Astyanax mexicanus: one gene and its partner. The protein of the gene in region 1 interacts with the protein of each later gene in a biochemical or structural test. Links are inferred from orthologs where the notes say so. Each region holds a gene or a part of one and is shown on either strand. Other genes may lie near its edges. The genes, in order: rufy1 and rab4a.

What was found.
Region 2: the proteins of rufy1 (region 1) and rab4a form a complex in vitro, tested with the Homo sapiens proteins (2 studies listed by BioGRID). The link is inferred for Astyanax mexicanus from reciprocal best matches to the Homo sapiens genes RUFY1 and RAB4A.

What each region holds. Positions count from the first base shown.
Region 1 is NC_064417.1:28,101,624-28,119,068, forward strand, and holds the start of rufy1 (RUN and FYVE domain-containing protein 1), read left to right. Parts: upstream 1-10,801; 5' UTR 10,802-10,883; coding exon 10,884-11,187; intron 11,188-12,462; coding exon 12,463-12,636; intron 12,637-12,740; coding exon 12,741-12,858; intron 12,859-13,769; coding exon 13,770-13,871; intron 13,872-13,979; coding exon 13,980-14,103; intron 14,104-14,196; coding exon 14,197-14,258; intron 14,259-15,437; coding exon 15,438-15,573; intron 15,574-15,759; coding exon 15,760-15,861; intron 15,862-16,900; coding exon 16,901-17,017; intron 17,018-17,445. Other genes in the region: hbegfa (heparin-binding EGF-like growth factor a), read right to left, coding at 3,358-3,430, 3,588-3,743, 4,253-4,424, 4,544-4,768, 6,034-6,073. UniProt on the Homo sapiens protein: Activating adapter involved in cargo sorting from early/recycling endosomes. Regulates retrieval of proteins from endosomes to the trans-Golgi network through interaction with the dynein-dynactin complex.
Region 2 is NC_064414.1:38,726,630-38,743,190, reverse strand, and holds the start of rab4a (ras-related protein Rab-4A), read right to left. Parts: upstream 8,772-16,561; 5' UTR 8,639-8,771; coding exon 8,623-8,638; intron 6,483-8,622; coding exon 6,402-6,482; intron 6,306-6,401; coding exon 6,191-6,305; intron 5,677-6,190; coding exon 5,614-5,676; intron 5,514-5,613; coding exon 5,359-5,513; intron 3,376-5,358; coding exon 3,280-3,375; intron 3,194-3,279; coding exon 3,078-3,193; 3' UTR 3,050-3,077; intron 1-3,049. UniProt on the Homo sapiens protein: The small GTPases Rab are key regulators of intracellular membrane trafficking, from the formation of transport vesicles to their fusion with membranes.

The DNA of each region.
Region 1 (17,445 bases):
GCTAAACGAAGGGTTAGACTAGAGTGGAAATGATCTCTGTCGTGTGTGGAGCCACAGTATGAATGCCATTGTTCCACAGCTTAAGTAGTCAGCTCCTTTAACGGTGGCCTCAACAGGCTCTCAGGGCTTTCATCTTACCTTTCATCCCACATCGTGGCCTCATAGGCTTTCGTCACTGCGTGAGGTTACAGAGGAGGAAGTGGCGACGTTGTTAAAGGAAGCTTGACCAGTGTGCGGCTGGAGTTATGGCCAGCATATTCATTTTTGCATGATAGTCGTAACGAAGACAGTAAAACTTAATTCGCTGATTCATTTAATGTGATTTATATGAACACAACTGCACAATTGGGTCACTAAAATGGTGTAGATCGTAAATCCACCATTTGTTTGAATTAAATCTGTTTCCAATATTTACTCAACTACTCAGCATTTGTTGCCACACATACAATCAAACAGAGACATTTGACTCACTATCGGTGTGTAGATTCCCCTCAGGCAACCTTGGATAAACTTGTAGCTCATCCATCATTTTCTGAGCTACTAACTCTGTGCTGGTTGTGTGCTAAACTCTACAGCATTTTTCTTCTCTGTCTTTTTTTCTAGGATTATTTCAAATCTTTATTAGAACTAATATTAAAAATAAGGTTAAATACAAATCTGTTTTATTCACCTTACTATAAAATTCCAAGTAGATTTATTGTGCAAAGTAATGCTTTACCAAAAAGATAAAAAAGAAAATCAATAAAATTAAGGCATTCAGGCATAATAACAAAAAGTTTCAAGTCTAACTAAGATTTTCACCTTATCCAGGCTAACACTGTAGCATCTTTACAGACTTTGTGGTTGTTTTTTAGGAGGCTAAGTGAACTGCTTTCCACACGACCATCTGGATCCACTAATTGGGCTGTAAGTGTGGTCATTTGAAGTGGTCTGCGTGGGCATGTTCCGTGCTAACACTCATTTGTGGAAGTGGACATCAGACAGTCAGGATACAGGTGCAGTTGGAGGGGTGATGAAGGCAGGAGACAGGATAGACTAATGTTTTTCTTGTCTCAAAGCTGGGAAGACGACGATGTGTTATCATTCCGGCTCTGCTTTTCTAAAATATAACTAAAATGGGAAACCAGACTCAGCTGCCTACATGCGGAAGTGAGTCATGCAACTATGTTGGGCTGCAACATGAACAGATTTAACTTGTTGGTTTAATAACACACAACATCATCTCTGTCATGCAAAAATCTATTTCCAAAACTGAAACTGTATAGGAGAAGCCAAACTAAAAAGATTCAAATTAAAGCCAAAAGGGGCATTTATATTGCTCCTTTTATCATGAAATTGGGACACAAAGTGAAAAACAGCTGCAGATTTACATTATGGCAAAAAGTGAAAAATATTTTGCAGAACAGTGACAATATATATATATATAATAACCAATATGGAACTTATTGACAGAGTCAGTACATACGAAAGATATAACAATGGGATTAAGCCTAGTTTTGGGCTACATAGCATCTTGAGTGGGTATTTTCCATTAAAAGGAGTATGATTAGACTTAATTCCTGTCCAGTACATTAAGTCTTCACCAATCTACTACACTCTACATAAAAAGTGTCCTTTGGACTAATATCAATGTCACTGTCACTATCACACAGCTGAGCCATCTCTTAGAGGTATAAAAAACTGCTGGTAAGCCAGTCAATTAATTAAGAGGAGAAAGGTTCTACATTATTGTTGTTACCCAAAAGAAACTTCTCTGAAATAGCAACTACCAAACTGTACATAAAAAGTCAATGCAACATTTTTGGTCAATGAAATTTGGATACAGGGTAAAGAAAACTGCATGATTTACACTCTATCAAAAAGCTAAAAACAACAAAATTAAGATTAAAGATCTTTGGGTGACAGGGATGATACATTTGTCTTTACTAAAATACCCCCCTAAACTAAAAGAGGAATAAACACACATTTCAAGATTTGTCATTTTGTTTCAAGCAGTACAATTTTATTTCACAATACATAAATCAATTGTGAAAGCATAACTGGCCAAGTGCTTGTTTAAAACATACAGTCCTTATTCATGTGTGAATATTCCTATGTATGTTTACAATACCATTGTGGGCTTATTTAACACTGACTGCATAAATGCTTAGATTGTTTGGGTTGTATTTCATGTCTCCTACTTTAATACCTCCTTTTTCAACACTTAGCCAGGTTTGGACAAATTTGGTACAAATCGAAATAAATACTCATAATATAAATAAATAAATTAAACGAAAGTATTTACACAGTAAAACGCGTCATATAAAAATATCACAATAAATATCCGACGTAGACAACAGTGCAAACTCAATCACACCGCTGACGTCACCGCTGCACTCCAAAATGACCAGTTCCTTTTTGTTTTTTTCAGTGCGTTACAGAAATCCACTGGGCCGATCACAGTTCAGTCTCGTAGACTCTTCAAAACGGTCAGACTCTGTACCCCAACTGGCCAGTGGAGTGCATGTGTACGCAGGGCACTCTGGAGAAGTGTAGCTCTTCTTTTCCACTCAGGCCATCTGCTTCAGATCGAGCCCTTCTGCTGAGGTAGAAACTTCTGCATGTTCCTCCTGAAATAAAGCAGACACAGAGAATACAAGAGGTCAAATAAGAACATAGCACTAAGCGTACCGATGCACACATATGGGCCGTGGCATTGCCTAGAGAGTGTGTGTTACAGCTGTGTATTGGCAAGAATGTTATATATGGAATATATTATTCCGAAAACATATTGCGACACTGTAAGCAAGGTGATACATTGCAATGGTTTAAATAACGTAAAAAAACTGTAAACTGTAAGAAAACTCTTAATAATATTATCATATTTATGAAATCTGTGATTATTACGTTATCTCCCACCTTACTGACGATATAGGACAAGACTTCAGTTATGCCCCAATCATTTTTGCTGACCTCTGTGTGTATTGCCCATTGCCAGTATCGCAATACTGTGATTCTGTCATATTCAATTATTGAGGAAGATAAAATACCCTTAATAAGTAAACACCAAAAATTATTGATTTATTGGTGTTTGTTTCACAGAATTTAACAAATAAAACTATTTAACACAAACAAAAAGATGCAATATATATTGTGGTATTGATATTTTGTTATTGTCATTATATGTGGCATTATAGTGACAGGTCTATTTACAGTATATGTAAACTTCTAATTAAAAATTTATAATGTGCTTTAAAAAAAACGATATAGTATTGCATCACAAAATATCGTGATACATCTATATCTATTAATATTTCCATACACCCTTAGTGTGTAGTGGATGTGTGGTTGGTGTGTTTGCTTACCATGATCTGCTCCTTAGTGGTGCGGGGATACCTCGAGTTTAATCTTTTCCTCATTCTCTACATCATACGTGCCTCTCTTGTGAAATCTGTGGAGATATAAAACAAAGTCATATTAACCACTTTGAATCACAGGGATTGCTATTACTCAGTTATTATTCAGGTACTACTCATCCAACTTCAACAAGAGGCATTGTAGTGGCCCGTTCTACCGTAGAAAGTAGATGTAAGTGCTGAAGAACTGACCTGAGAGCCAAAAGGAGCCCAATGATGGTGAGACACAGTGAGGACAGCACCACGGCCACCACGGCGAGCGCTGTTGTGCGGTTGTACCCTTCCTCAGGGGTCCATACAGGCAGCGAGAAGGAGTGACACCTCTCCCCTGAGTAACCTGGGTTACATCTGCACAGAGAGGGGACAGGTTCTATGGTCAGGCTTTAGAAGAATTGAAGAATTCTGATCATCATATGAAATGAGAAGAATCATAGTTGATAGCAAGAACTTCTATGTTAACAGGTAACCTGACCAATACAAAAAGGTCCAAAATCCGATTTTAAGTTACAAGATCCTCAAAAGAAATTTGTTTAGTTTCTCAATTTGAAAATGTAGAAGAAGAACCCCTAAGGTGCTTAGAACTTTTTTCTTGAAGGTCCCTAAAAGCATCTCAATGGGTTGCTCCACAGTTTTAAATCAAATAACCTCCAAAAGTTTATGGTAACCTGTTAACTTCCTCTTAACAGTTTGGTAGAGTTTTTGATGAACTAATCTATAAAACAGACAGTTCATCAAGCACCTTAATGGGTTCCTCCAAAGTTTCAAACAGAAGAACTCACAACATACTTATACTTTTAACAGTGTACAGTAAAAATTGTCATTTTTGTTTAGTATATTCTCTTCTAAGAAGTACTCACATGCATGAAGGACCAATCTTCCTTAAGTACTGGCATGTTCCATGGATGCAGAAGTCCTTATATTTCTTCAGGCACGGATTCCTTTTCTTGCCTTTTCCCTTTTTCTGGCTTTTCTTTTTCTTCTCCTCAGTCAGGACTGTGCTTGGGTCTTTAGGTTTGCTTGAAAATGCAACTGCAGGAGGAAAAAAGAATGTACAGTTGACATAAGCTGGTATTCTGCAAAACTGACAACTAATCCTCTCTAATGACTAATTTATGATCAATATCCATTTTTTTTATTGTTTAAATTACCTCTGGGCATCTCATCATCTCCCGACAGCTCGTACTCGTCTATGTCGTCATCATAGTAATACTCCTCTCCTTCCTCCAGTGAGGAATCCACGTGCCTGTTCTCTTCAACAGGTCCTTTCTCGTCCTGCGCCTCAGACGTTCGTAACAGGTGAATCACCGTGACCTGTGCAGGTTTCTCACTCTCATACCTGTCGATGGATGCGCTGCTAACCAGCGTGAAGGCCACTGAGGGGACAAGAGACAGGAAAAGGAAATCATGACATCAGAACTTATAGAGTATGAATAGAGTTCATGTAGAGTGAAAGCTTTGTTGACTTATGGGCTACGCAATCATCACAAACCAGTTTGTTCAGCACCATTAAAAAATTTGGTTATGTTGGAATGCAGCAATGTGGAAATTGTGGGCTGCTATGCAATATTTGTTTTTTTCTTTTGCTGATACTGACACATAAAGTATAAATGTTATATAAACAGAATAAATCTTTTATATATATATATTTGTAGATTGTTCATTCCATCGCACTCACACTCGAAAATTTTGTATCTCCTTCTTTACGTTTTTTCTTTTTATTCATCTATTATGAATTTGACAGCCGTGTGCAAAAATATCATGATGAATGGACCAATAAAAATACTCCAAAATTACTTGGAATATTTTTTTGTGTTTTTTTAACATTGACTTCCATTTATAAAGTTAGAAAGTTGATATTTTGTAGAAAAGTAAAATATTGTATATTAAATAAAATGCTAAACATTTAACACAGTAGCTCATTCAGAGAGAATAAACTTAGTTTAGTATTTTAAATTACTCAACATAGAATATAGGTCTAATTTAAAGTGATTCAGTTAAATTATATAATATTTGTCTGTTCATATAAATACATTTCCAGTTTTATTGTGCTTTATATCAGTTAAAGGTACGATATAAGTTTATAAAGCTTCTAAATGCAATCGCCATGGCTATTGCAAAGGCAAGTAGGGCTTTATGGTGACTTATGCAACAGGCAATGTGCCAAATACAAATGCCAAAAGCCAGTTTTGTTTAGTTTTGTTTATTATTAATATTTAATTGTTTGTTAAATGTCTTTGTAGTTAGCTTAAAAATGATTTCTTTTTATTCTGTTAGCTTAAATAGAGTGTGTGGAGCCCTAGAAGGCACTGGGCCAGATATTTAAAAAAGCTTGCATGCACAGACACTGATCTAATGCATGAACACACGGGTCAAAAATAAACAGATCATGTTACATAAAGAATATTCTTAAATAAGCTGCTGACCAGCTGAACCACATTGTTGCCCTCTAAGAAAAGAAGGGGGCCAGTTTTAGCAGTAAAAATGTACTGCTGTAGTGACCTGACTGGAAGTGTAGAGGAGTGAAATGAACAATATCTACTTTTCAGGAGTAATATGTCCGTTCACACACGCTGAAATACTGCGAATTATAAACTGAATTAACGCATAAATGGAGTGTGAAGTACTTCTGTATACTCACCCAAAACCTGCGCCAGTAGAACCACTGCAGGAAACTTCATAATGTCCAACTTATTGAAGAACAAATGAGAGAAAATCCTTTAAATCGAGTTAAAACTTCTTTACGTAGGAAGATATTCCACACAGGCAGTCCTGACTTTAATCCGGAATTTTTTCCAACCAGTTCGGAGCAGACAGACAGCCAGACAGGCAGGCAGACAGACTGACAGACGGAGAGGCGCGACAGAAACTCTGCGCTGGTGAAGCGCAAGCATTTAAATACAGCCAGACCCACAGACGGTCAGAGCCCCGCCCACACACTGCCAGAGCCCCGCCCTCTCTGTGTGTGTCTGCCGGTGGTGGAGGAAGTATCCAAATCTTGTAGCTATTTAGTTAAATAGATAAATCCAAGGATAACTGGATCTGCCTGACAGGGTGTCGTCTATCATATCAGAAGAAATAGAATCATTTAGATTCATATTAGACACACAAACTATTTTGCAAAAACTGTTGGAAGCACATTTTTACATTATTTTATGAAACATGCCTCCCACAGCTACATTCTCTGTTATCTGGTCTAATTTAAAAACGCTAAAAGCGGGAAGCTACTCAACACTCATTATGGATTTTTCAGGGCACTTACTCAATCTACTCTGGGCATTTAAATTTAATTTACTTCATTTTCCTCATTTAATGACAGACCAATGGCACCACAGGTAGCCTCTCTCTCCCAGTTAAGGATGATCAGACTTTAGCGTTCTAACTTAAAAAAACATCAGACAATAACAGTATAGTGCTGTTTTATTGTGCACGTGTGTGCATGCGTAAAGTGAGAAATAGAACCGTATCGTTGGCAAGAGAAGACTGCTGTATTTTCATTCTTTAAATTCTGCTAAATGGTGTTCTTCAGTTATTTGTTTCATTTTGAAAGATTCAAAAAACACTATTATATAAATTATCCAATTATATCCTATTAGTCCTACCTATTACTAGCAATTACTTCAATTACTACTCTAGGAGGGTGCAGACTAGAACATGCCTTCATCAATACATATGAAGCCATATTATTCATATTATCACCACCTTTTATTCAAGGGCTGCCTATGCAGTCACAAATTACATTTATTTTGTTTACTACTATTTTGTTTTGTTTACTAGTGGTGTCAGTTAGACCAACCAAAAAGTCTTCAATATGTCCAAAAGTCTGTAAACACCTACTGAAACAAAAGTTCTTCTGACATCAGTGGTAGATACATAAAGTCTTTATACTCATCCACAAAATTATTGGATGGAGCTCCATCATTCCAGAGAACACAGGTTTTATAACTTCTGCCAATGCTTGGTATTTACAAGTTGACTTTTATCCATCATGATCCAGAGCATCCCATTATAAAGGTGATACAATCAAGAGCATGCAAAACGTCAACCACTTCAACTCATTTTACGAAGTACTGGATGGAGACCATCATCATTCCAGAGACCATCATCATCCCAATTTCATTGTTTTACAGTTCAATACTGGGGGCTTTATACCCTGCTACAGTCACTTCAGGCTCATGTGTCACTGTCCAATTTTATTGGCAATACTTTCCTATAAATGTAAAACAAGCTGTGTGTGAAAGTGTATGTAATAAAAAATACACTTCATGGACAGAAGTATTGAGACATATGAGCAATCATCGTTTCTTCTGAAAACAAGAGTATTTAATATAACTTGTTGGAGCAACTGTCTCTACAGTCCAGGCAAGACATTCTGTTAACTTACTAAGGTCAGGATGCTGGATAATCAAAAGTATGGTAGTGAGCTGCAAATGAAGGAATACTGCCATCTAGTGAAATTTATCATGACTTTCCACCCTTTCTCATAGATCTATTATTACTGTATATTCTGTCGTAAACCAATCAGGCTTGATAGTTATTGAACATCCAGAATGAATACAAGAATCTTTGTGTATCTAGCTAAATAAAGAAATGTTTGAACAGTGAATTCCCATTCTCCAGCAATAGTGACTCTGTTTGGCTGAGTAAAGGTGAGGTTTGGTACATTATCCCAACAAACTCTGAAGGCCACCATGTTGCTGCCTAAAAAACAAAGATCTCTGACGTTGTTCTGTGGAATATGCCACCATGATGTTGACAGCAGATTCTTAAAAGCAGCATTTATAGCATTTCTATTTTTAAATAATAGCTCCAAAATTATTGTGCTGTTCTATTCACTTGTGGAAAGTAGAATGGTGTCTCTGTCGTTTGTACTTTGGTTTGGGCCTGCTGCTAACTGCACCCTGTAACTTTGGTGAAATAAATAAACATGAAACATAAGAACATAAAAAACAGAGCTGTAAAAGGGAGCAATTAAAAAAAAATCAAAATAGTCGTACACCATCAAAATTATATAAATCAAACCTGCTAGAGAAAGCCTTTTACAGACTTTGAGGAAGCCAGGGAAGTTGTTAGGCTAAAAGCTTACCAAAGTCAAGGGGTTACAATCAGAGGTGGATTTGGAAGTTCTGGGGCCCCAACCTGCTGCTGCAAAAAATGGTGAGCTTTGTCAGACTTTCTGTGTTGGACTTCCTTTCCTTATTATTTATTTATTCATTTATTTTTGCCAACATTTTGGCCAGCAGGGGGCCCCCTGATCCCTGGTTACAATCTCTTGGGCTAGCTAATCACACTTCACACTAAGCAGAAAGCAATTTTACCTTGTAAGACTTAAGAATAATTGCAAAAAAATACAGTGTTCATGTTTCAGTGCTAAGTTTTGCTATGCTAGACTAATGCTGCATATGTAAATGTCAGTGATTTCCAAACGTCTATCCCCTATAAAATGCAGCAGATTTATGGGTGTTTGGTTGAATGTGGTAAATTTAGCCCCGTCACGTACAGACAGCTCCTCATCTGTGGAGGTGGTGGATATAAGTTCAATGGAACTCCTCAAAACAATTTTTTTTTCTGTGTTGTGTTCAAAACTCTGTTTATGAAAATTTCTCTCATCTAATTAGTGTGACACCCTCTAACTAACTGAGTATTTTTCACACTATAAGGTGGAATTCAAATCCTTTATTTTCCCAAAAATTGTAAGTTGTAAGGAGCAGTAAAGCCACTCCACAGAAGTACAGCATTACACAGGAGTTTCAGTGAAGTTTCTCCAGCACTGAGACTGGAGCAGTATTAACATTAGCCGTTAAACGCTTGCTCTTTTGCCGTTCAGAGGTGAGTATTATTGGCTTGTAGCCTGCTGCTAACCCTAGCTAGCACTGCTGGAGCAGCATTAGCATTACTTGCTGACCGCCCTAAGCGCTAGCTCTTTTTTTGTTCAGAGGTGAGTATTATCGGCCTGTAGTCTGCTTGTTTTCCGTGTTAAACAAGCTACATGGGGCAAACTAGGTAATATCGCCGTGGCTTTCTGAAAGACTTAGGGTTCGTCAGTGTAATGCTGAAAATCTTACCTGGAAATCGAAGTTTACTATAAATCCATCAGCTTAAAATCCATCACTTGACGGTAAAATATTTTTTTTTGTTTTAATTACAGTTTTGTTTACTTAACATTAACTTAGCTTAGCTTTACAGGTCTCGCCACCCAGCGGCAAGACCTGCTGAATTAGAAGAAAAAACACGGTGACACGCCTGTGTCTTACTAGTGTTGTGTGGCGGCTCTCCTGCTGCCCTATAGCACTTGTTAGACCCTTTGGTGGGAAGTTAGAAAGACGCGGGGAGGCAGGCTGTCTCTTTCTCTCCTCTGGTCTTTATTACTCTGCACATCTGCACATACAAACAAACAAATAATCCCAGCCGATTATTTAGTGACTGCAACTGCATGTATATCTCCTGCGCTGCTTGCAAGTTCCTCTGGAGCTACGGGGGGCGCAGAGGGATAATTAATAAAAAAAAACATGCAGTTGCCTTGCTGGTGCAGGGATTTGTCGTTCAAAATAAAAGCACAGAAAAATAACCACCTTTTTACTGTTAAAACACATTAACCAACCTCCAACAGGAGTAAAAAAAAATATAACAAGAATCCCTTTTGTTTACTAAAGGTTAATATAATAATAATTTAGTGAGAATTCATATAATTTTATGCAGTTCTTTTTAACTCTGTTACAGTTGCATAATGCACCTTATAATCTGGTGCACCTTTTGTATGAAAATACACCAGAAAATAAACATGTTGTAGTGTGCCTTATTGCATTTATAGAAACAACTATTAGGAATATTGAATACTTTCAGACTCCCACTTAAGTGTGGTGCTTAAAAACACTTCAACTTGTACACGTCACTTTTTTAAATAGAGCTATAAGTTTTTAATATTTTATACATGTCTGTCTATGTGCGAAGGCACTTTGCTGCTTTGTGTATTTATACTTCTGTATTTGTGTGTCTACGACTCAATTTAAACTGTGAAGGCGGGAACTCGAGGGGCTCGGCAGACTAATCACAGCTGCCACATCACCTGGTGAATGGTTAGCAACATTTCTGGGGAGGAGTGCGTTGGGCTATGGCGCAGGGTACGCAGGTACACATAGGTTCGACACAAAAGTAGAAACTGGTGGGTAAAAGGAAAAATAGCCTTTCACAACAAAGCAAAATTACAGGGTAGTAAGTAGATTTGTAAAACAGCATCTGTGCAGTTTTGCCATAATCAAAATAACACACTTTAGTTTTATATTTAAATGAATATTTTGATTTAGATTAGATTATAATTATGCTTCAAATAACATCTCTCAAACATATGTTACCACCTTAAACCTGAAATATCAATCGATTTCTCTTCCCTGGTAAAAACAGAGAATCGCTAAAAGTCCGATCGATTACTCTGGCCTCGTGACTCCTGGAGTGTCTGCAGGTGATTACTCTGGCCTGGTGTCACGTGGTGTGATGCGGAAAATGGCTGACGGAGATCCAGACAGTGCAGTTGTAAACAGCGCGGTTAAAGAGGCAGATCCGGACCCGGCTCCGGCCGAGCCCGAATCCGCGGCGGTGGAGGGCGAAGGGGAGCGGAGGGATAAAGCGGCGGACGGGTCCTGGTCCGCTCCGATCCTGTCTCTGGCCCGGAAAGCCACGGAGACGCTGAGCGGAGTCAACAGTTACGGGTCCGGGTGGAGGAGGTCCGGTTCTGTTTCTGAACAGCTGAGTCCAGCTTCTCCCACCAGCACCGACCACCCGGACACCAACAGACCCGGTACAGAACCCCGAACACACCACAGTACCGATCATTTTAACCAGTAACGTTACAGACCAGAATCTACCTTAGAGTCAGCTGTCTACAGTGTCAGCTGTGAGTCAGCTGTCTGAGTAACTTTTACTTCCCCAAAAACTACAGTACACTATTGTACAATATAGTACAGTACAGTACAGTACAGAAGAGTGCATTACTTTTGTTACCCTGTTGCATAAAAACAGTATGGTTAGATAAAATGGTTAAGCTCTTTCGCAGTGGGTATGACTGGGTTCGAGTTTAAAAGTTTAGCTGATCTACAGTCATGATCAACATGACCAAGCTAGTTAACTAGTTATTTAGTTAGATAACCAGTAGTAAAGCTTTTACTGTGCTTGTTGAACAGAATACCAGGCATTAACAGCAAGACCAACATGGCCAAGCCTGACAAAAATAAAATACAGTATACCCTATGCTTGTCACAAACTGTTTAACCAGCTAGCCTATCAGCCTGTGGCCTGTTTTAACCTGGATGACCAGCTTTTACAGTCCCTAGTCCGACAGTATTCTGCTAATAACAATATAGTTCCATAGTCCAACTATAGACTCCTGTTAATAATATAGTCCCCTAGTCCAGAAATGTACTCCTGTTAATAGTATAGTCACCTATTCCATCAGTGTAGTCTTGTCATAATATAGTCCCCTAGTCCAGCAGTATGGCGATGGTAATAATATAGCTGCTAGTCTAACAGTATTCTCCTGTTAATAACATAGTCCCTAGTTCAACAGTGTTCCTTTGGTAATATGTCCTTTGTCCAACAATAGACTCATTTTGATAGTATTGTCCCCCTAGTCTAGCAATATGTTAATATTATCACCTATTCCTAGTCTATATGTAGTCTATATAACTATTAGTCTATATGTTTATATGTATTCTGTATAACTGTAGTCTATATAACTGTAGTCTATATAACTATAACTCTTTTGTTGGGGTTATTTTGGGGGGTTTGTGTTTGTTTGGGAGATGACAGTATTTGTGGTGGTCCCACTGGCGGGGTGTTAGTCACTCTCCTGATGTTAGGGTAGAGGGTGGATAAAAGTATCGGCTGTAGAGTCACTGCTGTTTGGTAAAATCCTCTAGGCCAGCCGCTTAGTTTTCACTGTAGGAACATGCATTTCATAAATGTGAATCTTGTTTACACTACGTCTAAACTGTTTGTTTAGCTTTCTTGCCTTTTTGTATTCTGAGTTTAGTATACTGGATATATATTGAATAGTTAGTGTGTTGTGTTTTTGCAGCTATAAAAGATCCTGTATTGGTGGAAAGATCCAATCTCTTAAGCATGATGAAGCTCAGCATAAAGGTCCTGATCCAGTCGTCCCTCAGCCTGGGTCGAACCCTGGACTCTGATTATCCACCGCTGCAGCAGTTCTTTGTGGTGTTGGAACACTGCCTTAAACATGGATTGAAAGGTAAAGCAGGGCTTCCAAACTATTGAAAGAATGTGGTTAATCTGAGCATGCTTGCTGTTTCAGAGCTGCATGTTAAACTAATCCCGTTCTGCTTCTCTGTTTAGTGAAGAAATCCTTCATTGGCCAAAATAAATCTATCTGGGCTCCTCTGGAACTGGTAGAGAAACTGTGTCCTGAGTCTGCTGACCTCGCCACCAGTGTGAGGGACATGCCTGGCCTTAAGTAAGTTTCTTTACAGCTGCAGATCTTTACTATCTCTTATGTACACAAATTCTTCAGTAGTGGTGCAATACCACTAGCCACTTCTCTTTGTTTAGCTACACGTTTAAACAAATACAGTACAAGTCAAATCTTTAGACACGCATTCTCATCAATATTTAATCTTGATTTGTATCATTTACTGCATTTGTAGATTATAATTAAAGACTATGAAGAACACACATGCAATAAGGCACTAGGCCTTCACAAACATCTGACATACAAACCCAACCTAGGTCGTTTGGGACGAGTTGGAGCGCAGAGTAAAGGAAAAGCAGTTTACAAGTGATCACCACCTCTGGAACTCCTTTAAGATAGCTGGAGAACCATGCCAGGTTCTACATCATGAAGCTGACTGAGAGAATCAGCCAAGAGTGGGCGAAGGTGGCATCAAAGCAAACGTTGCTACTATGAAGAATCTTAAGTATAAAACATATTTTGCCTTGTTTAACAGTTTTTTTGTTTACTTCATACTTGCAAATGCAGTCATTCATAGTTTTAATGTCTTCAGTGTTAATCTACAATGTAGAAAATAATAAAAATAAAGAAAAAACAATAAATGAGAAGGGTTGTGTCCAAACCTTTGATTGGCACAGAATAGGTAATTATGGAAATCAATAATATTAAAAAGTTCTGTATTGACATCCTATTGGTGCAGATATAAATCTTTATTTAGATAAAATAAGTGTAAAAATAAACAACAAAAAGCCAAAATCATATATAATAGAAATCATGTAGCTAGAGTGGAGATACGTTTCCCTATTTTTTTTTTTTTTTTTTGCTATAACAGTGTTATATCATGCATTGTGAGTTTTTTTTTACCTAATATTATCAATCCAACTTTTCTTCTCTCTCTATCTCTCTATCTCTCTCAGGACAGGACTGGGGCGAGCTCGGGCGTGGCTGCATTTGGCCCTTATGCAGAAGAAAGTGGCAGATTATATGAAAGTTCTGATAAACAGGCGAGATGTCCTGAGGTGAGATGATCGCATGATCAGACACAAGCACTACTCCAAGATGTAAGATCTTTAATGTGGTCTGGTATTTTATATCCATCCACCTCTCTCTCTCTCTCTCTCTTTCAGTGAGTTTTATGAACCAGGAGCTCTCCTGTTGGAGGAGGAGGGGTCAGTCATCGTTGGGATGCTGGTTGGTCTGAATGTGATTGATGCCAACCTGTGTGTGAAGGGGGAAGACCTGGATTCTCAGGTGGGTCTCACACTGATGCTGGCTGTGGCGCATTTCCCTGTGCTGATGATTTGTCATGCACTTGCTCATCTTGTTATCATCTGGATGTTTTAGGTGGGCATCATCGACTTCTCTCTGTACCTAAAGGATCCACAGACAACTGAAAACACACAGGAGTGAGTAGTGCTGTTACACCAAGTATTACACTAATGCCAGATTAATGTAACATTCTATTTCTGAAGTTTACTGTGTCACTTGTGTAATGCAGTATGTCATAGAAAGCATTACCTCCCACAGTGGACAGTACAGCTCTCTTTAGTTTTCATGGGATGTGGCAGAAGTGCTATACTAAATCTTGTCCCATGACATATGAGAGTCAGTGTACACTGAGCCACGTCACTCCAATCCCAACATGTTAAGAATTTTCTTTCTTTCTCTTCGTCACAGTGACTATTTGCTTTAAAATGGCATAAGATATTGTGTAGTGTAGTATATGTAGTATGTATAATGTGCAAATATAAGGTGTATTAATTTAAACCATGGATTTTAAATATTTCAAATATAGACTGATAGATTATTTATTGTTGCCTGATGCAATACTCCAAAATGAAAAAATCTCTTAGAATTACATTCTTTTAAAACACTGTCAACATGTTTTCCCATCTCTTGGAGTTAGTTGCTCAATTGAACATTTTCAGTAATGCCCTATTTATAGTTAATATTAAGTCTTATATATAGATAACTATCAATGTAATCTATCTTGAGATTTATTCAATACTTTTAATAAATGGGACATTCTGGTAGCTGACCCAGATTTAATTAGGTCATTTCAGAATAATCTGCAGCTCTGCTCATCACAGTGGACAGACGCAGCTTGTTAAATCATGTTTGAAGCACTTTTTAGTTATTATTTAAAGATAAAAAAAGCCTATTAATTGTACACCCTTCTAATGAATGGGTTCAGTTACTTTAAGTTGCATCCATTGCTGATACAGATGTAGAAAAGCAATACCAATAGAATAGGACTTTTTGGAGTAGGTAAACATAAAGCTATTGTTAGATATGGGTTAATGATGATCATTGTGACTGATAGCCACTGATGGTTACTGAATACAATCAAATACTCACAGCAATACTCCAAAATCCAGATCTGAAAGCCTTTTTTTGGACAATAGAGTCAGTTCTAAGAGATCTTTTAGCGTATATGCATGATTAACCTGGTAATTACAGATAATAATAACAGAAAGCCTCATAAAATGCCAGTACTGTATATTGTAATGAATTTATTTGCACCTAAAATTAGCTCCCTGATCTTAGCTGAGCTTAGCTGTTTATTGTATTATATTTGTTGCCAGTGATTCCAAAATGACGGCGATTCTGGATCAGAAGCACTACATAGAGGAGCTGAACCGCCACCTGAGCTGCACTGTGACCGACCTACAGGCCAAGATGGACTCACTGGAGAAAACCAACTGCAAACTCATAGAGGAGGTCAGATCTTCTGCGTCCTTCACACACTTACATGTTTGCCAGACGATCTCGTATTTCATGGTAGTTCTGTCCTCGGTCTGGTTTTGAATGTTGGAACGTTGAAATGTCCCAGGCAGCTGTCCTTCATTCATGGCCATTACCACCTACATGTGTTAGCAGTGCTGAAGCTCTGTGTGTGTTCTGCAGCTGTCAGCAGCCACAGACAGGATCAACGCCCTGCGGGAGGAGCAGGATCAGCTGCGGCAGGAGAACGCCACCATCCTCCAGTCCAGCCAGAGAAAAGAAGAGGTAGGGTTCAGAATGATGCCAGGCTAATGAACACATGTTCTATTCATAATATGAGTCTTGTGTCACAGAGTGTTGGGAAAAAACATTAGAATAGGGTTGACCAACTCTGTGTGTGGAAGGATACCTTTCTGCAGACTTTAGGCCCTTCCGCACATTGAGTACAATTTTTTTACAATTTTAGACAATGTTCACATTTATCTGCTTCTGCCTCTCATGGTGACAGTATGATAATGACATTACTCATGTCGGCTATTAAAACAAATATGTTGTGTGATAATAATTTTTGTCATTTTTTTTGTTACTGTTAAGAAAAAGGTGTGGCGCTGAGTGGTTCAGCAGTCTAAAGCGCTGCCACTATGAGCAGGAGGTCGCAGGTTCCAACCCCCCTCATGCAGCTTTGCCATCAAGCTGCCGGCGTTTAGAGGGAGCAAAATTGGCCCTGCTCCCTCTGGGTGGGTAGATGGCGCTCTCTCCCCACATCACCCCTAGGGTGATGTCTGCAGCACGGGCGTCTGTGAGCTGATGTATCCGAGCCGAGCCGCTGCGCTTTCCTCCGAGCACGCTGGCTGCTCGGCAATGCTGCATCAGCAGCAGCTTGAAAAGAAGCGAGGAAGCATGTGTTAGTCTTCACCCTCCTGGTGTGTTGGGGCATTACTAGTGATGGGGGAGTCCTAATTGGGTTTGATAAATTGGGAGAAAATGCGAAAAATTAGGGGAAAAAAAACAACAACAAAAAAAAAGAAAAAGTTTTGAAAAATTGTTTGTCTGTCAGTATTAAATTCAAAGATTTGCATTGGTATCCAAAAATTCTAAGTGACTACTTATTACACATTGAAAAAGCGGTAAATGTGGATTGATTATTCTCCTTTTGTAATACAAAAAATGAAGAAACAAATAACATATACTGCAGATTTTTGGGCATGTGGTGGGGCACAAATGCAGATTTCTGTCATAGTTTCAGGTTTATAGTAAAATCCTATCTTTATCTAGCAGTGTATTCTGTGTCTTTATACCTGTTTTGTCTTTTCTATTTGTCCAGGTGACTCTGCAGGACAGCCAAGTGGAGCTAGAGACGTACCGGCAGTCCCGGCAGGGTTTGGATGAGATGTATAACGTGGTTTGGACGCAGTACAAGGAGGAGAAACGCATTCGGCAGGTCAGTCACTCGCTTCCCCATACTGAATATTTCAGTCACAGTTCTTACAGTTTTCATGCACATTCACTATTTAACTCGACAAAGGCAAGTTTATACAATGGTATTAGCAATTCAAGTAGACCTTTGTTAGCAGTGACACTTTCTTACTTTTGATGTAAATAATCTACACTACCGTTCAAAAGTTTGGGGTCACTCAAACAATTTTGTGTTTTCCATGAAAAGTCACACTTATTCACCACCATACATTGTGAAATGAATAGAAAATAGAGTCAAGACATTGACAAGGTTAGAAATAATGATTTGTATTTGAAATAACATTGTTTTTACATCAAACTTTGCTTTCATCAAAGAATCCTCCGTTTGCAGCAATTACAGCATTGCACACCTTTGGCATTCTAGCTGTTAATTTGTTGAGGGAAGCTGGAGAA
Region 2 (16,561 bases), on another chromosome or scaffold:
GGGAAAGAGTGAGTGAACCTGTATGTGTGTGTGTGTGTGTGTGTGTGTGTTTGCGCCTGTTTGGGGGAGTTGGGGCGGGGGATATGCTTAGCGTGGCTCAGCATCGCTGTGTCATCGCCACTCGGGCATGCAGAGCTAACTTGAGCAGGGCAGAGGGGGCGTTAATGACCAAAATAGTCCCCAGTATCAAAGAGGACTCCTCCTTCCGAGAGCATGCCAAATACAGTACAGATGCTGCTGAGCTTCTACCAACATCCTTTTACAGACAAGAGGGAAAGGAAGGGGATGTTACACAGGACCAGCAGTTATACAAGTCTATATTACTAATCATTTTATTAAAGGTGATCAAAACAACATGGCAAAAATACTGTACAGTATTGTTCAAATGTTGTACGCATCTGAAACAATTGTTCTAATCCTTTCAATTTAAAATAAGAAAACGTTGTGACAGTATAAAACGTGCAATAAAAAATGCAGTACTTCCAACACTGAATTTGAGTGACTTATTTAATGGCAGACAGTATGAACCCAAGATATTTTGTTTTGTCTGCTCAACATTTATTTTGTTAATATTCATCCATTCTTGGATTTTAGGCTTGCAACACATTTAAAAAAGAGTTAGGATGGGGAAGTTTTAAGCTAGTAATGAGGTAGGTCAGGTCATTGTAATCATGATTGGGTAAAAAGAGGTATCCGCATAAGGCTGGGTCTTTGCTTTGAGGAGCAGAGATAATCTCCAGTTTATAACAAATGCAGGAAAAAATATTGAAACATTAAAAAACAGATTTCAGTGTGTAAAGGACAAGGGAACAAGCCTAAGCTCACCACCTGTGATATCTGATCCCTTAGAGAGTATGACAACATTCACATCATTCAGTAAAATAAAACCACATGGGAAAGGGATAACCTTTGTCAAACACTACAATATGAAGTTACACTCACAAGTGCCACTTAAAACTTGACTGCCACCTGTCTGTTTTTTGTTTGTATTTTTCACACTATTTTATATTGGAATTAAGTTTACATTTGCTAATAGAAACTAATAAATCAATACAGAAACATGTTAATAGTTTATAATATAGCAATTAGTAATTTTATATATGCAAATGTGTGCATTTAACCATTTCTGAAACCCTCCTTAAGGAAGCACTGTATGACTGAACCTACACATGGTTTGGCAAATTAATGTAACAAATGGCTGAGGGCATCAAGGAGACATCTGAAGCCAAATCTGTGTTCTTCTCACAAGCTCAAAATATATCAACAGGAAATTCTAACTGGTTTAATGTATGTTTATATATTACATATTGTTTAACAATGGTCCCAGATATTGGAGAATTGATTTAAGGATTTGCTTGTATTCCACAACAAGATTGTAAATCAGGTCAGAATGTTGAATGATCAGCACCACATCTCATCACCAACGCCCCAATTCTTTCCAAAAGTACTGGATGGAGCAGTATTATTCTACAGTATTCTATCGGCAATACTTCTCCAAAAGGGCTAGACATGCCAACATGTGTGGTGCATTAAATCGGAGTCAGCAATGAGTGGAACTGTAGCTTAAGTGTTTCCTGCGGGTAGCCATGTACCGTAGACTAGTAAAAGACTATAATTTCCTTTAAATGGAAATTTACTATTCAAAATCCTGTGTAGTCTAAGATGAAACTGTTACTTTTACAGTACATTATTCATTTAATTCATTTAATTATTCAATTAATTTTAAAGAGCACAGGACATAAAACGTAAATCAGGCATAACCTTTTTATATAGTTTTTTAATCATTCCATGATTTGGTCCTTTACATATCCTTTATATTTATAATCTCCTATTATTAAACTAAATCAGTATACATCTGTTTATATTTAGAATTGCTATTTTTAGGTAGAAGAGGCTGTGTCCCTTAAAGCATTTGGACAGTTCTACCAAGAAACTACATCTAAACTATGTTAGAAGTACATTCTGCACTGTTAAAATGTATTGTAATTTCCTATGCTTATTAAGAAATTACATTTTTAGTGTTTTAAAGTGGCTCCTTACTCCTTAATGCACTATATAAGAAGAGACTACTTAGTTTACTAGCACTTGTATTGCTTAAACAGGAGTAAATTCAGACACAATGTTTGACTGTTACATCATATACACTAGCATAAGCCTCCCATTATTGGCTACTAACAAATAGATGGGAATATATGTGAAATTCTCTGTGTCCAGTTACTATCAAACTCTTGTATGAGAAAAATGCCACTGGGTCTAGGTTATTCCACTCTCTGTTGCTTAGTAACAAGACTTACAATGCACATTGGTTCCGAATTCAACTCATATAGTGAGTTCCAATGTTTACTATTGGTTACTAATGCATTGTGGGAGTTTATAGTGAATAAAGTCATGCTTAAATTCCACTTTACAATTTGAACGTGAAAATAGATGTATTTTGGTCATAGCCTCTGTGTAATATTTTATAGTCTACAGTACTCTACTTTTAAAAGGTTATACCTGCCATTTTTAAACATAACTCTAAATTATACCTAGTGCTGGAAGATCAAATTACTGAGAAAATTGTATACACTTTTACATCTGTCCTGTCAGAGACAATCTAATAGAAGTATAGTAGAAAGGCTTGTGCATATGCCAAAAAGCCTATAAACAATTCTAATGTGGAAGTGATTTTTTTTTTGCACTTTGCCCTAACTGAAATATAAGGCAATATATAAGGCTGTAATGCTGCAGGGAGCAGCTTGCTATTCCCTAAAAACAAAATAAATGTTTTAATTAAAGTTTTATTGTACTTGTATGGTTTTGACTCCCTTGAGTCTTTTTTAGTTTTTATTGTAATTTTTATTTTTCAGTTTTTATTGTAATTGTAAATCATGCATATAATTTACTAATTTAAGGATTTGGAGATAATAATTTGTTTTAAGATATCACCCTGCTGTAATTAAGCCAAGCAAACAAAAGCAATTTTGATTCACCAAGGAGTTACCCCTAATATGTATTCTCTCACTAAATAAAAAATCTGTAATGAATCAAAAGTAAAGTCCCCTCTCACCTGGCTGTTCAGCTCTAACGTCCGGATGCTAACAGCCACACTCCTGCACGCTCTCAGCCTGAGCTCGTCTTGGGGAGCGTAGCTGCCGCAGTGCTGCATCACCGTACTGAATTCCTGAACCCATCCTCTCCGGATCCAGCTCACCTGAGCACAAGTCACAAAAACTTCACAACATGCTACACCAGCAGTACACTTTCCTTATTTTGTAACAGCTTCAGCTACAGCAGTACCTGATTCTATTTTGTTGAGGATTTTACGAGCACACTGAACGAAGGCCTCCTCCACATTCTCCCCTGTTAGAGCACTGGTCTCTAGAAACATGAGTTCTGAAAGACACACAGAATTAAAAATATATAGTAATTTAAGTAAGACTGTAAAATACAATATATATATATATATATTAGCCTAAATGACTAGAACCTAAGCATATACAGATATATAAGGACAAGACTACACAACTACATCTATCAATAGAATCAATCACTGTGAAAAGATGTATATACTAATACTGTATAGTTTGTATACAAATCATTACATCACATAATGAAGCAACCTTATTTTAAGTTACAAAACTTAAGTCAATGTTAAAAGATTTCACTCAGAGTCACTTCCAGATTGACATTATGTTGATGTCAATATTGATTTTTCATATGCCACTGGGTCTGTATTTAACTGAAAGTGGATAAAGAGTATGTTCTCGCAGTATTTCTCTCAGTAAATCTCTGTCTAATTACAAGCCTATAGTGGCCTCTTGTGGTACAACCACAGCAGAGACACTCATTAGATAAAGAGTATTACAGTGACACAAACACAATGACCTTAAATGTAACACCGTCATATTTGTTCAGATGGGTGACAAATAAAATAATATAATTTTAATAAAGATACTTTTATACATGCACACTATGATACATTTAAGCAATTGACATCCTATCTTATCATCATCCTAAATAACTTTGATTCACTATTGGGGCACAGGTTTCAGGAGCTTCAGTCAAAAAGTCAACTGAAAGTTAACTGATGTTTCAGTAGAAATAGAGAATCTCTTTAGCTCTGCTAAAGATTGATCTGATAGAGAATATCTGCACTGCACTTCTATTTATGGGAACGATATCTATAAAATTACAATGAACAAGTTGAATCTTCAGTGAGAGAAAGTGAAGGTTGTGCTTAATGTATAAGATAATTGCAGACAAGCAGAAGCAGCTGCTGTCAGTTAAATTACATTATCGTATTTTGTGAAATACTCTTTACATCATGATAACAATTAATTGCTGCATATATTGGTCCAAAGTTGATGTAAGTTAAGTTATATTTATATTTATGTTGTATAAAATCGGTGTGCTGAAGAAGGGAAAAGGCGGGCATAAATCTTACTGGTTTCTACAATATCAGGAAAACCAGGATTAACTGAGAATCCCATGTTTGTTACTAAAGAGGGTAAAATACTTATAAATAAGCAAATGCTTTAATAATCTTAGCAAGTCAAATTGGAGAGGTGAGTTCACGTATTGATTAGGGGTGTGCCATATCGTATCGTACGTGATAATATCGGCAGAAATTTTGAATATTGTGAACGATATTATACCCTGAAATATCGTGCCATATCACCCACCACTAATTATCACATCAAAGTACTACTTTTTTTTTTTTTTTTAACTACTTTTTAAAAATTCACACTGTTCTGATTTCCCATTATATATCTACTAGACACAGATTATCTGTCCAGTATCTTTTTTTTTACTTTAATCCTGCATATATGGAGATATTTTGAGTGCATTACTAGTATTATGACATTCTGGATCATTGACTTCTGTTACAAATCTGATACAATTATTATTTTTAAACATCTCAATTAGCCATATCATATTGCATGCAATAATACAATTCAAAATAATTTTTCTAATTCAGTGTTTTGTCATATCGCTAAAAGTATCGTTATCGTAAAAATGCCATGAAATATTGTGATATTATTTTAGAGCCATATCGCCCACCCCTAGTATTGATAGGACACAATCAAAATTATACATTCCACACCTATGAGTAAGAAGGTATATTGTGAAAAATATGTTCTGTGGCTTACAGAATCATACTGGATTGCAATGCAATTAAACCATTTAGGGATTTTTTGGATTTTGGATTGACTTGTTGGACAGTGGATGAGGAAAATTGTGTTAGAAGAACTGTGTTCCAGTACTGATCCAGAGGCTTGTTAAATTTAACCCAAGGCACAGTTAAGCTCTTCTGGCAACTCAACACCTTACTTACACATTTAATGTTTTTTTATTTAATTAAGTAGGAGTACTCACCGTTCTCTTGAGCAAAGCGAGAGGCCTCCAGAAAAGTGACTTCACGATCAGCATCCAGGTCCTTCTTATTCCCACACAGTATTATTACAATATTCTGGCTCGCCAACATCCTGGCATCTGTCAGCCAGTTGGTCAGAGCATTGTACGTCTCCCGACTGAGGAAAAAAATACAGATTAAGAGAAGGTGGGGGGAAAAATGGGGAAGAAAATACAACCCGACTCACAAAAATACAAGATTTCACACTGTTTCAGTACCTGGTAATATCATAGACGAGGAGAGCTCCGGCTGCACCTCTATAATAGCTTCTTGTTACAGATCTAAGGGGGGAAAAATATAAACTCTGTGCTTAATCTCCCAAAATACTGATAGTTTTCACAAGTCAAAACAATGAAAGGTGAAAAACATGAACTGGAACAATACTGCAGAATCACCTCATACTCAAAGCTTAGGTCAGCATAATAGATTTTAAAAACTTATTTCAGTCCTGAGCAACAATGATTCATCACTGTTTTGTTTATATTATGCCAAAGGTCAAGTGTATGGTAGAACAAGTAGTTCTGTGTAATGCTGCACACTGCTGAGAGGCCATATGTGCTAAATGCTGAGCACACAGCTTGTTTTTCACTCAAATCTAGGTGGGCAATATTACATAATTAGATTGTGTAGAGACACATCAGTGCTTTACACATTTACCAACTGTATAATCCTATTACAAATGTATTCGATTGTATTATATTTCTGCAAAACAGTTATAGTTTTTATCATATTGCTCAACCCCATTCAAATGTCTAAAATTAACTTCTCAGTTTTGAAAAGAAGTCATGAGCGCACCTGAATCGTTCCTGTCCCGCTGTGTCCCAGATTTGGAGTTTGACAAATTTGTTAACCACATTAATGATCTTCGAGCCGAACTCTACACCAATTGTATGGTTTGAGTCGTCTTTGACTGCAAGAACAAGAAAAAGTATGTTATTTTTTGAAGGGATGCATAGTTTAAAAATACATCTCAATAATATTATATTGTTATTGGTAACATACATACATTTCTTTTCTATGAACTGGTGAAGGAGGCAGGATTTTCCAGTTCCTGCATTCCCAATGACAAGGAACTTGAACAGGAAGTCTGAAGAGAAAATAAGAATGGTAACATTTATTCAGAGCAGTTTTCACAATTTCACTTATTTCATAATTAGTATAAGCATGTGTTTTTTTTTCTTCACCTTACATGCAGATTTTACGATGAAACACGATGTAAACATAACCTCATTATATTTAAGTTAAGACAAATGTAAAATATGTAAATCACTGCAGTATAAAATAGTTATTTACAGGATTCTGACAGAAACAAATGTCTATCTTCTGAGATTCCCTCTGTCAGCTTCTATATGTAAATAAGTACAATCTCAATTATCCCACTTTGACAATTGCATTAAAATAATAATTTGATTAGTCAAATGTATCCTCTATGGTATGAAATATGTTTTAGGAGAGAATTTTTTGTAAGATTGGGAGCATCTGTGGCTTTGGCTACAATTATAAATAAACATTTTGATAACAAACTGATCATTTGAATAAATTGTTTAAAAGCAAGGAAGCCCCCAAACCTGCATAACACTGCCCAAAGACAAATAATGAAAAAAAAAACAACAACACTGTTTTAGTAAGTTTACAACAGAAGATACCTTACTTATTTACATATATACAGCTCTGGAAAAAAAAATAAGAGACCACTTAATGATGATATGTTTTATGATTTTACCAAACTGAAAACCTCTGGAATATAATCAAGAGGAAGATGGATGATCACAGCCATCAAATCAAGCAGAACTGCATAACGTTATCCAAAAGCAGTGTAGGACTGATGGAGAACATGCCAAGATGCATGAAAACTGTGATTAAAAACCAAGGTTATGCCACCAAATTTTAATTTCTGAACTCTAAAAGATTTATGAATATTAACGTTATGAATTATAATCTTTGCATTATTTGAGGTTTGAAAGCTCTGCATTTTGTTATTTCAGCCATTTCTCATTTTCTGCAAATAAATGCTCTAAATGACAATTTTTTTAGGTTTGGGAAACTTAAAATGCTGTAGTTTATAGAATAAATAGAATAAAACAACAATGTTAATTTTACTTAAACATATTAACACATTAAACCAACCATGTAGCTTAAGTTTTCTGTCTGTAATGCACACAAACTAAGACACTATTATCCTAATAAAAAAAGTATACAAATAAATCCAATTAACTTTTTTTTTATTCATAAAAATAAATCAAAAAGTGTTCTAAATCACAAATAATTAGTAATAATGAGCTTGTGTTACTTTGCCTCAATTGTTCTGCAGTGCTGACATGCCCTAATGTCTGAGTTGCTGATTTATTCCCAGTGCAGTGGGCGGGGCTAAACTACTGTTTCATTGGCTGGTTTATGTTATTTTCTAATGCACAACAGGTTTCAAATAGTGCACTGTGAAAAAAACCATTTGACAAAAAAACTACATGATGTCCACTGTAACTGACACAGGGTCTGAAAGGGTTAATTCCTTCCAGCCCTACCACAAACATTAAAACCAAATCTAGCTAAAGACTAACCCAAGAAAAACACAGAAATAGACCTGCATTAAATAGCTAATCCTAGTTTGAATCAGACACTAGCTAGTAAGTTAAACTATCAGTGTATTGTTTATTAACAGGCAGCTAACATTACAGCTACAGCTATAGCTACAGTAGTTTAAGGTTTGGAACAACATCCAGTAACGTTAAATTGACCTAGCAGTTACCATAACTAGCTAACTTATATATCTAACGCTAGCTAACATAGCTAGCTAGGTTAGTTATCAGTTAGCTAGCTAGATAGGTAGCTAATAAATAACGCTAGCAGTTTTGGATAAACTAAGCTAACTAATGATCCAGGCTCGGTTCTACTGCATAGTAACACCAGGCTATCTAATACACACTCCTCTTACAGCACAGCAGCGGTATTCAGGGCGTTCCTGCCCTCTCCTCACGCCCTCCTGCCCCTGTTCACGGTCTGTATTAAATTCCTCCTCTCTCCAGCTAGTAAACAGCCCGGTGTTTATCCGCGGCTGCTCCCCGGCCCTGCCTGCCTGCTACCGATACATCCCCGCGCTTAGCCTGCGATCCTTTACACCACAACAGCAGCAGCAGCGCGGTGGATGAGAGCTGAACACCTGCTATATAAACACAGCCCCGCGGACACAGCCGTGACAGCGGAATAACACACAACCCAGCGCTCCGTACCATATGTCTCCGACATGGCAGACGCTGTGGGAGTCAGGTCTGATATTTATTAGCCTCTGTTGAATCGGAGAGGATATTAAATAACGGGAAATCCCTCAGAGGGATCCGCGCATCCTGTCGGACTTCCCAGGCTGTGAACTTCCTGTAGAGATTTTCACAGTAAAAGCCTGAGAGGCTGCAGATCCGCCGCAGCGGGAGGACCTCACCAGCTAATCCCGGAGCCCTGGAATTAAATTAAATTAAATTACAGCAAAAAAAAAAAAAAAAAGATTCCGTCTTTTTACGGAGCCCGTAAGGTGACATCATGTTAAAAAAGGAATTAATGCGTGGCCACGACTTATTAAGGTGTGGGAATTAGATCTTAATGCATGGGAACGAGATAATTAATGCATTGGAACGAGATAATTAAGTCATAGCCAGATAATAGTAAAACATGCTTTTCTGTAAATTAAAGTAGAACTCTGGTGTAAATTGTGTAGTAAAACATGATAAAAAGGATTAACCTTTGTTGAATAGACCACCTCCCCTCTCCCACAGCTTTCTAAGATACAGTACTTTAAAATATTAATTTAAAAAGATGGCGGTGCCCAGAGATTAGGTTATGCTTCGAGTTGTAAACAGTGTTTTTTAATAAGCTTCTTGTGCACTTTTAAAGTTTCTAAATGTTTTGTTTTAAATGTCAGGGCTCTTCAGATTATTTATGTGCAGGGGCAAAATATGCCCCATATCATCCATTCTAAAGCATGTTTGGACTAACTGCAAACAATTTCTGGATCTCAGACAGCTGCAACTGTTGAATTGGTTTCTTTTTATTTTCATCTTAGAATAAATTATGGTGATTTTTTGGAGTATCTTGCGGTGAGACATGGTATAATTCTAAATAGAAGACACTTAATTCTTATACCAAAAGCTGACGGGCTCAGGCTTAAAACAGTATGCAGACATGTTTACCTTACTTAGTCAGGCATATTGCGCACAACCCCTGACAGCTGCTTGCTTTGTTAGCTGTGAAAACCTTAACAGCCTTAATGGCTACAATTTAATTAACACATTCCCACATCTTAATATGTCATGACCACGCCTTAATTATCTCATTCCCACAAATTATTTTCTCATTCCCACACATTATTAAGTTGTGGCCACAATTATTATTATTTATTTATTTTTTTACAAGATGTCACCGTAGATGCTCTGTGCAGTTTAGATCATGGGCATTGTTTCAATTAAATCTAAGGGGGACGCGTCCCCTTCATATTTTTATAAGTATTCACTTGAACCCCAAACACATTTAACATAAAATATTATGTAGCCCTGCTAAATTTCTCTGTTAAGTTTTAGATGAAATTCTAAAAAACTTTATTTGTCCTCAGACACATTAATTCACAAATTGAATTCTGTTGCAATATCTTTCGTAATTGGAGCAAGGTGATTACTATTCATAAAATAGGTTGGTTAAAGTTACATTATAGTAATGGATGATTCAGCTAACAATGGATTGGCTATAGATAACATCTTATGTGTTGAAAAACAAAACAGCTTAAAACCCTGTTATCCATAGTACAAAAAATAAGGAGTGTATTTGTGTTTATTTCTGATGATTGCTGTTGTATTGAAATTTAATATCAAATAATTATATAATTATAATAACAAATAATATTTATGCTTTTTGGTCTATCTGTTTTCTTTCTGGTTTATTTAGGCTTGAACATTCTCAAACATTTCTAATAGGCAGAAGTAGGGTAAATACTGTGACCACATGGGGGTGGTAGTTCATCATGCATATTTCACACATTATTTACACTAATCCTGCAAACAGGATTATATCCTAATGATGATTAAAAACAAAAATGCATTGACAAAAACAGTAAAGACTATAAATAAGGTAGTATATATGTTTAATATATTTATCTTGGATCATACGATTGTATTAGACAATTGAAAGGTGACTATTGAAAAATCTTACAATGCAAATGCATTTAATGCTTGACAAAAGCAATTTAAAGAAACGAGAGAAGATTTCCTTCAACTTTTTTGTACAGGTTCTGAGATATTCTAAGATGTTGTTTAAGATTTATTAATATATTTTTCATATATTTTACATATTTGTCATATGAATTAAAACAGGGAACTATAAGGACTATTCCAAAAGCTTCAATTCTTTACTTCATGCAGTCCATGGTGGATTTTGAGGTTTATTTTGGATAATTACCCTGCTGTAGAAACAGTCTCTTTTCATCTTCAGCTATTTCACAGATGGTTTGACATTTGCATCCAGGATTTTCTGGCATTTTGTTGAATACATTATTCTCTTCACCTGAGCAATATTGCCAGCTCCATTGGCAGCAAAACAGCGCCATGCTGTGAAGTATGATAGATCCACTGCCATGCTTCACAGTTGGCAATGTGTTCTTTTCATAAAATAGGAGTGCATTTTTCTTTGTTATTTTGATTCAAGTTTGGTTTCAGGGCAGATTGTGGCCAAATAGTTATTTTGACTTTATCAGTCCACAAAACTTGTTTTCCAAAACTCATAAAGTAAGATTTTCTTTCTGTTGTTAGAAGTTTGATGAAGATGTATGATGTTTATGTTGTGCACACTGGAACAACACACCTCATCTGTATATACACAAATACTCAGAACTATATCTTTGTAATAAAACTTCAAACCATTGAAACCACAGGATTTATACACTTTGTTATTTTCCTCCCGCCTCTCTCCGAGGGAGATGAGCATATGACTTTCGCCACCAGATATTTAGACAGTTGCTTAGAGGATCTCATGTTTGAAAAATGTGAGAGTAGAATGTTGGAAGATGCTAAGATGCTAAGATACCCAAACTGTTAAACTGTTAGAAGAAGAAATGGACACATGACATGACACAAGACTGGCTCTTTCCACCAAGCTTCAGAGTTGAAAGGCAACATTATTAGTTATCTACCACACTGCAAACATCGCCACAGTGCCGTTAGCATTGCTACCATGCAGGAAGTTAACCTTGCTCAGCATCATTACTGTGGTAATAGCATTGCGGTCGCAGTGTTGCTACCCTGGCCCTTCTGATTTAAAAATTAGCAAATACACAATTACCTTTTTAAGAGCGAGACAGAGTCACATGATATGATACATGAAACATTATTGATGTCATATTTTATGCCACAGAACTTTTGTTAAAAAGAGCTTCCCTTTGTTGAGATACCAATGATGATCCTATGCAGCCAGTGGTGGTCTGGCAAAACTAGACTTGTCTGTTTTTGTGTGTGTTTTTAAAGCACATTATATTAACCACACTACCCGCCATTTATCCACCACTTACAGTTATGCAACTGTATCATGGAGCACATAAAATAAAGGATGCTGAAGAGTTTTAATGAAACCAAGATTCTTTTCCTCTTAGGATTTGCTAGAGATACATGAACGGTGACGAAGTGATTGATTGTAGATTACAGATGTAAATTGCCTGCTGTAAATTTCAAGCAGTGTTGCTTCGACTTGTGGATGTTATTAATTGCATGTGTAATGAAGAGCATATGAGAAAAGCCAGAGTAAACCACTAACAATCCATGTGCGTGCATTGCATAATCCTCTCATACACTCACTTTTCCTGCAGGAACACACACTGGTAATTTAGGAATTGAAAATTGAAAAAAGTCCCAGAGCTAAGCGCCACAAATTAAAACCAACCAAGCATTTGAAGTCATTGTAGAATCCCTGAAATGAAGTAAACACCCACTCAAGAAGACCTCTGATAGTATTAGTCACCACATGGCTTTTCAGATGGTTATGTATCATCATTGTATTGTTTTTGTGTATATATAGCTTCTGAGAATGTATAGAAATGTTTCTCCTTTCTTCTAACACTTCCTGTTTTTCTTAGGTCCTTCCTGTCTGGATCTGAGATACAGTGTATGTTAAAGAAAACTGCTGATGGTTCACAGAGCTTTAACATGCTGTCAAAGGTAAGATTTCCTTCTGGTGTCTCTGTCAGACAGATTATGTTATTACAAGCAACAGTTGAACAGTGCAGGTATAAATGTTCATGTCCTTAAATTGGGATATATTGGGATTTGGGTTGCCTATCTGGTCAGCATTAGAGCAGGTCTATAAGGTTTTCTTAGCCTTTCTAAGTAAGCACACGTTGTTTAATCACAAGGTGGGGTGCTTAAAGTTCTTCTTGCCGGGTATAATGTTGAAAACTCTCAGTAGATGGTTTTATATAGCACCAAAAAAGTGTTACACTATATTGTTACAAGAAAATAACCCTTTTGAGTACTAGACAGAACCATTTTGCCTAAAAAGTGGGGTAGCACATTATTATTTCATGTAAACCAAATGAACCCATACACACTCTGCCACAACTTGCTTTAATTTTGGTTTAATTTTAATGGCATTTACTAGAGGCAGATCATTTATTTTACTTCAGGCTTCAAGGCAAAAAAGGGATTTATTAATATCATAACATGTTGAATCACTTGCATTAGGAGAAAACTGGTAAAAAAAAAAGCCTGTGTTTACAACAAGAAAATGTAATTTTTGTCCAATATCATGCAGTGCTGGTGCAAATAATCATTGTTATTACCTTGTATCTTGTAGCATTTCTAACATAATGTAGAATATAGAGAATCAACTGCCAAAGTAACACAATTTATAAAGTAAAAAGAGATAATATTGAGATTGTGTATGACAGTAACTATAAACACATGTATTTAACATATCGGTTTTCTTTCTGTTTGCTTCAGTTACATCCACATTTAATCAAACACTGGAGCTAAAAAAAGAATAGTTTTTGAGCATCAAATTTCTCACTATTGACTGTGTAATTTATTGGTAATAAAATGGAATTTGCCAACTAATTTCTGCCTTTTATATTAGCTTTTACTTATAACAGCAACGTCCCATCTTCTGCTACTGTAAGCAAGTTATATAGTATGAACTCGGGGGGCTTCAGCCTTCACTGGAGTGATTCGCTATCACTGGAGTACAATGGTAACCAGGAAGAAGGGAAGTTAACTGTCCTTGAAATCTAAAAATGTCATCACACTGTCTGAGTCAGGATGTTATTCTGAAAAATGGGAGTTCTTTTTTTATTTTAACTCAATCTAGTGACCAGAAGAACTTGTGTCTGTGCCAGGTTGAGATTGTAGAGCACGCAACAGGACAGAAAAACATGTCAAATGCTGTCGTGAGAAGAACTGAAATGCTATCACCAAACACATTCTTCCCAAACATATTCTTCCTATTTGTGGTGATATGTCTGCAAAGACAAATGGTGATACCCCTACATAAAAAAAATGCTTTTGAGAGGCATTTTTGCTGTTTTACAAAAAGAGAAAATGTGGATATGTCACATATCAAATATATTTTGCATCTAAACGTGAATGCGAAGTGTTTTTCCAACCCGAATATACACATTCTGTGCAATATATCATTATTCCTTGTACACTATGTAATTGATGTGTGATAAAAAAAAAGTACAGAAGTATTACCGTCTGTAATTGTAGAAATACAATGTACTTCTCTTTATGCTCAGAATAGCTGAAATAGATAGATAATGTGTGTAGAAAAAAGGGTTGTAATGTTATGCTTGATTTGTATATATACATTAGATTCAGAGATCTACATTATTTGCTTAAGTTAAGTTACTCAAGAGTAATTTAACTGGTTAAGCAACTTTAAGAATTGTAAGAAGACTATGTTTTGGAACTGCTGATTTGGATGCAGTGACTAAGCAGTGTACTGAATTTTAATGAAAGGCTTAATTTTATGAGAGTTCTTCTGGCTGGTTGTTTGGATCTAAAATAGGTCATAAAATCACTTCTTATGCAATTAATTGCATCGACAGGAGAATAACACTCAACATTTCCATGGCTTCGTTGGGCTCTTACCGACATATGGTTTGTTAGTTTAAAGCGTGAGGAGGCCTTGAGAGGCTGTGCATTAACAGTGCAGGCTGTGACTGGGCTGGTCTGCTAAAGGCAGGATCACTGAAATAGTGTTTCTCTCCTTTCCAAACACGGCAGGCCTCTTTAGGCCTGTTTATCCTATAGACGGTTTCCTCTGCTGGCTCAGACTGAGTGGAAACCCAGCTCACAGACCCACTGACAAACATCAGTGGCAAACACCCTGAATACTGTCCTTATACTGAGGCCAGCACAGGCCAGAGCTGAGCGTTGGGAGAGAGTCCAGAAGGGGCGGGGCAGTGTACAGTGTGTAAAAAAGCTCTGGACTGAGTAAGCATACAGCATGCACAGTGTGTAGCCTAATGTTTGAGGCCACAGAAGCTAAGGCTGCATTGTTTTTGTATGCTATAAGTATTTTATACTATTGGAAGGCAACTAATTTCAGCATTATATTTGAGAAATGATCAAATATTGAAATTATTTACACTTAGCAGTTACCAGACAGTAGCGACAGTTACTAGAGCAGAATATACACATTTCAAAAGAAACAATAAATGAGTAAGTGTCTGTGGAAGATTGGCCTTAAAATAACAAGCTTACCTTATAATAATCATACTAGAGCTTACCTTACAATAATCATGCTTGCTAAAGCCTTAGCTTAGATAATTAAAACACATATTACACAAATATATCTATGTAAGCTATACTCTATATTCTCGTCATCTTCTCGTAAACATTAATACTTAGTTACTATTCCACACGTAGACACATCATATACTTGCTTAAAAGAATCTCTCATCTCAGCAGCACTGACCCAAGGGTCAACTGTAGAAAACATGCTTCCTCTTTTTAATGGTAAAAACATCTTGCGGTCCCAGAGCGTGGCAGACTGCAGGGTTCCTCTTTTCAGCTAGATTGAAACTAATGAATAAAACACAGACTACAGGGTTCCTCTTTATTCACTAGTTTAGGAATAAAGTACATTTTGTAACCTTACATTAAAAGATTACTCTGAAAAGTTATACATACAACTTCAAGCTTTGTTTAAGATATACTAACTAACTAATCTTACGGTAGATATAACGATACCATTATAAAACGGAGAGTATGAACTAAAACTTACTGCAGATACACAGTGAGACAATGTGAATGTTAATTAACCATGGCCCGCCACAAATAGGGGAAGTTCATTGAGCAGGGGAATTAATAACCCATGGGGCCTGCCAAAAAGGGGAACTGAATCTTCCCTTCTTCATTGAGCAGGGGAATCAATAACCCATAATAGAACCTCGTTTAACCAAAGGCCCGCCACTTAGGGGAATTGAAACTTCCCGAGCAGTGTTTTTGGCAACTCACGATTCCCCAGAAAGCCTACTGGGCAAAGGTCAAACAGAAGTTCCGAGAAGGTCTAAATAAAACGAGTTCTGAGAAAGACTGAATAAAACTAAAAATGGACTAATAATTAGAAAAACAGAAGTATTACTCATTCATGCCAAGTAACTCAAGATACGTCACAGGAGGGTATATATATTGGAGTCAGATCAGCACGAGGCAGAAGAACTGGGGGCGACTTACTAGCTTAGGTTAGGATGCTTTGCCTGTATTTGTTCTTCCCAGATATCTGAAATAAATCATACTTGTTCACTCTCAATCTCCGTGTCGACTGAATTCCTGGATCAACGAACATTCAACAGAGAAGCTAAAGACAGCACTTTTCTACAATTTGGTGACCTTCCGACGTGCGATCCAGGGTTTCGGCCGGCGAGGACACAGCTGACAGATTTCTTCACTCATTTGGGCCCATCCTACACAGGTGAGCAGATTGCCTTTTTATTAAAAAATCTGCATATTGGATATTTCAAACAGAATGAGTGATGGGATCCAGTAAGCTTAATCCTGGTAAATTGGATTGAACAACTAAACTTTTTTATTATTATTTTCTCTTCTATTTTATGTTTAAGAAACCGGTATAAAGGATAAAAGGATAAAAGGATAAAAGGATAAAGGATAAGGAAAACAGTGCTAATGAGACCGGGTGCTG